Callithrix jacchus: one gene and its partner. The protein of the gene in region 2 interacts with the protein of the main gene of each other region in a pairwise test. Links are inferred from orthologs where the notes say so. Each region holds a gene or a part of one and is shown on either strand. Other genes may lie near its edges. The genes, in order: OAS2 and CLK3.

The links.
Region 1: the proteins of CLK3 (region 2) and OAS2 interact in binary tests that used the Homo sapiens proteins (3 or more experiments, as listed by UniProt). The two-hybrid records come from large-scale screens. The link is inferred for Callithrix jacchus from reciprocal best matches to the Homo sapiens genes CLK3 and OAS2.

The regions. Positions count from the first base shown.
Region 1 is NC_133510.1:115,976,344-115,980,161, reverse strand, and holds part of OAS2 (2'-5'-oligoadenylate synthase 2), read right to left. Parts: intron 2,566-3,818; coding exon 2,330-2,565; intron 1,822-2,329; coding exon 1,677-1,821; intron 1-1,676.
Region 2 is NC_133509.1:21,630,338-21,633,609, forward strand, and holds the end of CLK3 (dual specificity protein kinase CLK3), read right to left. Parts: coding exon 3,189-3,272; intron 3,098-3,188; coding exon 2,968-3,097; intron 2,669-2,967; coding exon 2,586-2,668; intron 2,138-2,585; coding exon 2,058-2,137; intron 1,800-2,057; coding exon 1,709-1,799; intron 1,032-1,708; coding exon 855-1,031; 3' UTR 620-854; downstream 1-619. UniProt on the Homo sapiens protein: Dual specificity kinase acting on both serine/threonine and tyrosine-containing substrates. Phosphorylates serine- and arginine-rich (SR) proteins of the spliceosomal complex.

The DNA of each region.
Region 1 (3,818 bases), on a different chromosome or scaffold from region 2:
GGGTAAAAAGATGTCTGGCAGTCCACTCTCAAAGGGCTCAGTATAAACAACAGCTATAATGATGGGCAGGTGAGGTCGCTCACGCTTGTAATTCCAGGACTTTGGGAGGCCAAGGTGGGAGGATCACTTGAGCCCAGGAGTTTGAGATTAGCCTGGCCAATGTAGTGAGATCCCACCTTTAAAAATAGATTAAAAACAACTATAACAACAATAATAATAACGTGTACTACAAACTAACATAGCAAATGTCACACAGGATGCATCTGCATGAGGGGCTCCTAGCAGTTTATTGAACCATTTTTTTTAACTTTTTAAATGTTTCAAAGCTTCAGAATAAAATGTCAGGGAAGAGGGGGTAATTTTTTTGAAAAAAATCTGCCTGAAGAAGCCAGGAAAATTGGGGTCAGGGAGCAAAGACCAGGGGTCCAGTGAAAGTAGGGGTTGGGGTGACTGCTCAGAGCATCCTGATCCTGCTGGGTCCAGTTATGGAAGTTCCCCATTCATAGACTCCCCCGCTTCTGTGAATTTTGCTAAACTCATTTACGTCTTCATTTACATGCCAGATTGGTGCTCAGTTAGCCTTCAAATTTCTGTGCAAATGTGATGTGGATTCTGTCTCCCATAACTTGGATATAAATTAATCTCCTGCCTGTGAAGTGTGGAATTTGGTTGGCCCCTTTGGCCTCAATTAATAAAGTTGTCCCCAGTGAGGTTCCCAGGAAAGCTGAGAGGGCTCAGTGGTCTAACCTGGGAAGTTTCTTCTTGGATGGCTTTTCTCTAATAAGAGCTGAGCATGCAGGGGAGTTCGTGTTGGTGGATTTACTTCTCCTTTTGGGGATGGGAGGGGGAAGTCCAGTGCACCTGTTTCACAGCTGGTGCCTTAATTGGTTCTCCTGTTTTGGCCCCACTTCTGGCTTTTGCCCCCGGCACCTGCCTGAATGGAGCTCAGAGCCTGTCCTGGCAGCGACAGGCCTGACTGCCGCCCCTTCTCTGAACAATGCTCTGTTTCATGTCTCCGCATGCCTGGCTGTCTCTCTTAAAGAAATTAATTGAGATCTTGCATCTGTGGGTACCCCGTTTCTCTTTGTTCCATTTTGGACTTTACAGTCATTGCCCCTGTTGGTGTGCTGAGGGTTGAACTGTGTCCCCCTAAAAGATGCTGGGGTTCCAACGTACAGTATTGGCGAATGTGCTTTACTTGGAAATAGTGTCTTTTCAGATGGGATCTAGTGAAAATTAGGTCATTGGGGTGGACCCTAATTCAGTAAGACTGTTGCTCTTAGAAGAAGAGGAGACAATAAGACAGATATGCACAGAGGGAAGCTGATGTGAAGACACATAGGGAGAAGGGCATGTGACCACAGGGGTAGAGGCTGGAGTGATGCAGCCACAAGCCAAGGACTGCTGGCAACTACTGTAAGCTGGAGGAAGCCTGGAATAATTCTTCCTTAAGGCCTGCAGAGAGAGTGTAGCCCTGTCAACACCCTGAGTTTGAACCAGCAATATCCAGAATGGTGAGAGAATAAATTTCTGTGGTTTTAAGCCACCTGTTTTGCGGAATTTTGTAACAGCAGCACAGGAAATTAATACAGGGAACTCTCAGATAATACTTAGCCTGGGTGGCAGGAAGACTTTCCTGCAGCATGCAATACCGTGTATTTGGAAAACCCTCTTACCAGGACATTCCAAGATGGTGCAGGTAACTCATTATCCAGGTTGGGAGAAGTCAACCAGGTCTGAGCCTCTTGTTTCAGCCTTTGCCAGCATCTGTAATCTCCACTCACGTTATTGGTCGGGTCGGTTGGATCCAAGATTACTGGCCTGTGTATTCCATTAGATTAAAAAAAATCAGTTGAGCTTCTTGTGAGGGGCAAAATCTGTATTGGGGAAAGAGGCCTTGAGTGGGAATCTGGTGACCTGAATTTGGATTCCCATGGCTCCTCCAAGCTGCTGAAGGGTTTTGTCTAGGACATCAAGCTCCTCTGGCCCTGCGTTTGCTGCTTTGCAGAGACATTCTATTAATGAAACAACAAACTGGTCTTCTCTTCCTGCCACTCCCCCTTCTCTCTTAGCCCCTTCTTTCTATAAGGGGAAGTGTCGCTTCATGTGTTTGTTTAGGGGACAAAATGTGATTATGGTTTGGAACGTGAAAAGCAATGGTTGGACCTCCCCTCTTTCAGACAGACCCCTCTGCCTCCCCACCCATGGCGGCTGCCATTCTTCTGGTACATCACTGACTGGACAGGGCAAGGCTGAGATCTCATTCCAAAGAGGTACACCTAGCACGCAGATGATGAGGTACAGGGCTAGGGCATGAGAAGCTTGGCACCTCTCTGATTGGAACTGGTGCAGCAAGACGTTCCTGACGGTCTCATCTTCAAAGTTGTAGTTGACCATCCAATAGATACACAGCTGCTCCTGGCATTTGATCAGCCCCAGAACGGTTCTGACGCCTTCAGCAATGTCGAAGTCATCTTGTCTGCACCCCTGTTCCCAGGCATACACAGTAAGCAGCTCCAGGGCGTACGGAGACAGCAAGGGTAAACCATTCATTTTTTCCTGGCACTATGGGAGAAGAAAAGGGTGGTGGCTTATTTGGGGATCGAGTTCTTCCTATGTCGGCAATCTGAAATCAAGAAGCTAGAAGCCTACAGGAAGTCATTCTCCCTCGCCAGAATGCCTACAATTCAGTGGACTCACAATACCAAGTCTTGACAAAGATGTAAAGCAACTGGGATGGAGCAGGGACCTCTCTTAGGGGCCTGCAGGCCACCACTGCCCCCATCCCACAAGCAGGAAAAGAAAGGAAAATCTTGAGTTCTTTCAAGGGAAATTCCAGGCCCCTCACTAGCTTTGAAAAGTCAATGAGCCATTTGATAAGCAAAAATATAGTAGTTCAGGGTCTACAGGAGCAGTGAAAAAAAAACCCAATAAAATAAAAACAACAAAAGAAGGTAATAGTCACTTAAAACAATAGCCAAGGAAGTCAGAGTCAGAAGATGTTTTGTTCCCTGTAGAAACTAAAGATAACATCTTAACATATGTCCCTGAGTTGATTTTCAGAAACTCAGACTCCCACCAAGTGAATCCACTGGCAGGCAGACCTCAGATAAGAGGAAGCTGAGCATTGAACCCTGGCTCCTTCTTTGTTCTAAATTTCTTCCTGAGGGTCCTGGAGGAGGTCACACCTATGAGCCAGAGCTAACATTCCTTTCTGCAGATCTGAAATTTTTAGACAAAGCTTCACCTACTTCACCAATCAAAAATCGGAAGATCTTTGAATCCTGTGACCTGTGCCACCCATCCTCCTCCTCCCTCCTGCTTGGACGTGTCCCACCTTTTTAGGTCAAACCAATGTACAGCCTCCATGTGTTGACTTATGGCTTTGCCTGTAACCTCTGTCTCCTCACCTTTAAAACCCTTACCTATAAGCCACTGGGGAGTTCAGCTCGTAAACATGAGCTGCCCAGTTCTCCCCGCTTGGCTCCCTGCAATAAATGCCTCACTCTTTCTCTGCAATCCCAAAGTCACTGTTTGGCTTTGCTGTGCTAGGTGAGCAGATCCTTGGGTTTATTAACATGCCTGAAACTCATACGTTGCTCATGAGAGGGTAATTTGGTAAGATTTTGGAAATGGTTTGGCAAGATTTGCTATAGTTAAACAAAAAAGAATCAAATAAACCACATGTATTTTATATATTTACACAGATACGTACACAGCATTTGTATATGTGTACTAGATAGCCCAGCAATTCTACTGCTACATATTTACCCAAGAGAAATGAGTGCTTACATTCACAGAAAGACATGTAGGAGAAT
Region 2 (3,272 bases):
CTCATCCTCAGCCTAGGCCTTCCACAGAGGTGTTGAAGAGAAGTAAGATTCCTGTCTTCAGTTATTTCAGGGGCATCCTGCCTATAGTATCCAGTTCCCAAGGAGTCCCCAGTCACGTGGTGAAGCCTAGCACTCATGCAGCTCTTAGAGAACCAAAAACCAGCACTGAAATAAAGCTGAATGACTGAGTCCTATGCCGTGTGTGTGAATTGCTCTGAAGGCTGTCAGGAGGTGCTGCCTGCCCCAGCCTAGGAACCCGCCCCACTTGCCTCCTGCCTTCAGCAGACCATAGTTGTTGGGCACATACAGCCTAAAGTCCCAGCCAGTAATGGGGCTGGCAGGCTACAGAAAACCAGACCCCACAGTGGGCAGAGTCCCTTAGGTTCTTCGGGGCTGAGAGGTACAGCAGCCAGGAGGGCAGAGGTGCCATCTAGGACTGCTCAGCAGACAGGGCCCAGAGGACGTCCCTGCTTCTGGTCTTACCCCTGCCTAGCTCTTCTGTGCCTGGCCCAGTTCACACTTAGCTCTCCACAAGCTGAAGTGCTAAGAAATACTTTATTAGTAAGGTCAGGGAAGGGGAAGGCAAGGAGCCTGGAGATGGACACACTGGTACCAGGGGTTACAAACAGTAAGAAACACTTTATTATAACTTTACAACATATAAATAGCTTGGGTCAAATCTGTGCTTTCTGGCAGCTGGGCACCAAGTCTGCTCCCCTGCAGGCTCCTGCCTTCCTTCACATTGCACTGTTCGTTGGGTGGCTCTGGCCTGGGGCCTGGTGGTCAAGGCTGGAGTCAAGGGGCTGGGCGGCCCAGTCCTGCCCTCCATCTCCTCATGCGGTGGCCTGCGCCTGTCATCTGCTTGGGTTGCGGCTGGTGTGGAAGGACCGCTCCTCGGGGGTCAGGCCAGCAAAGAAGGGGTGCAGCAGGGCCTCGGCCAGTGTGATGCGCTGGGCAGGGTCAAATTCTAACATCCTCCTCATCAGGTCAAACAGCTGCACGTGCTCCAGGGAGTCTTGGAGCATGTAACTCTGCTCAGGGACACAAGGTGCCTCAGTGTGACGGCAGGGTAGTGGGAAGCCTCAGCAGGTCCCCTTGCCTCTGGGATGCCTTGCTGGACTGGATCGAGGAGGCAGTGATGCCTCCTTGGAGGACTCTACTTCCGCCCTCCTGGACAATGAGCAGCTCCTTTCCTTTCATGCCCGTGTTTAACGTTTTGCTCGGAACTTGCCAGGCTACTAGGCGTCTTGCTGGGTTGATGCCTCTGCCCCCACATGCAAAGTCCTGACAGGTGGGTAGAGATCACCTCTGCGAAATTCACTTGTCCAAGCATCAAATGCAGTTGACAGAGGCTTCCTGGCCATTTCTAGGTCTTCCCTCCCCCTCACCTCAGTCCTGCCTAGTTCTTCCCAAAATTTTGAGAGAGGGTGAGAGGGACAGGAAGCAGCAGGGTTTCTGACATCTGGCTCTTCTGGTGTTCCCCAATTAAATTCATAGCCACCCTATGGGGAAGGGGTAGGGCTAAGGGCCCCTCTGGAGCAGTTTGCAAGAAGCCTCACTGCCAGCACCCAGCAGTCTTGGGTGTCGCCTCCCACAGAGCTGGATCGAGGAGGCAGCCTTTAGCGGCCTGGCCTGTCTGATGTATAGTCTGCCCAGTGCCTGGGGTCTCTCCTTGGGATGAGTTGAGCTGGGGAAGCCAGAAACTGACCTTCAGAGGTTTGCAGTTCTCCTTCACATACCGGCCATCAGAGCTGTTCTCATCCCAAACTAGGCCCCCTTTGTAGAAATATTTCTGCTTCCTGAAAATTAAGGCGGTGGGGTCAAGTGGTGATAGTAGTAAGGGGACAAGCCTCTGGTGGGGGGTGGGGAAGAACAGCTCCCAAGACAGCAGCAGAACCAGGGCAACAGGTTTGCAGGGGCACATAGGAAAGGCTTTTAGGAGCCTGGGGAGCCATGGACTGTCCCTCAAAGATTCACCACGTCTAGTACCCTGTTGACCCACAGCCAAAAGAGAAAGGCCCCTATGCCAACCCTGAGGGGGCTACTGGGATACATACCTGGTACGGTGGATCATGTGTGATGGGATGGGCCCTAGGATCTTCTCCATCATCACCAGGTGCTCTCGGTTTTCATGGGTCTGTGGAAGATTAGAGACAGTGCAAGTAGGGTCAGTCCTAGTTCTGGCTTCCTCACGGGGAATAAGGAACAAGAGAGATGGGCAAGTGCCCTCACTGCCCCAGGAGATCTAAGCCTACCAATGAAACGGCAGCCTGGCAGCCCATGCCCTATCCCAGCCCATCCCAATGCCTTTATTCATCTGTGCCCTTATCTAGAAGGTCAGGTCACCTGCCCCATCCGCCCTCCTCGATGGCCTAGCACAAGACTCCTCTCTGAGTGTCCCAGCTACCCTGACTTCTGCATACCCTTTAGCATCCATATCCTTAGGAGTCTGAACCTCACAACATGACCAGTGGGAGGAGGAAGACAACCTGTCTTCTCATCCGCATGGGGCTTCCCAGCCCAGGGGCCTGCAGCCTGTCACAACGGCAGTGCTTGGGTAGGGAAGTGATGCGGGGTAGCTGTACCTGAAAGAGTGTGAAGCCCCGGTAGTACTCAAAGAGAATGCAGCCGATGCTCCAGACGTCACAGGGCTGTGCCCAGCCCAGCTCTGAAAGCCAAGATGGGGAGAGGCTGAGAGATCCGGCCCTGTCCTTGCAGCCTGGAGGTCACAGGGCAACCACCACACTGGCTGGCAGGACTCTTGCCCAAATCCCAGTACAAGGCCCCCTCTCAGTAAGGCTGACAGATAAGGCCAGGTCAGTCACCTGTGTCTCATGACATGGGCCCCTTGATCTGAGAAACTCTGCCTGCCCTGGGTGGCAGAGACTGAAAGGCATGCCACCGCCTCTATTCATACCCTTCCAACAGGTCCAGTGTGACAAGGTCACAGGCCATACAGTCACTCACCAAGGATCACCTCAGGTGGGCGATAGTGACGGGTGGCCACGATGGTTGTGTGATGTTCATGGTCAAAGGTGGCACTGCCGAAGTCAGCCACTCGGATGCTGGTGTTCTTCACTGACTTCTCCTCACAGCTCTGAAAGGCAAGGCAGGCACACCAGGTCAGGAGTCTGTACCAGCGGGTAACCCACCCCTGGAGCAGGGCCTCACCCTACCCCTGCCAATACCTTGTGCTCATTGTAGAGAGTTTCAAACTCAGAATTCACAAACAGGATGTTCTCTGGCTTCAAGTCTGTGTGGGTCAGCTGATT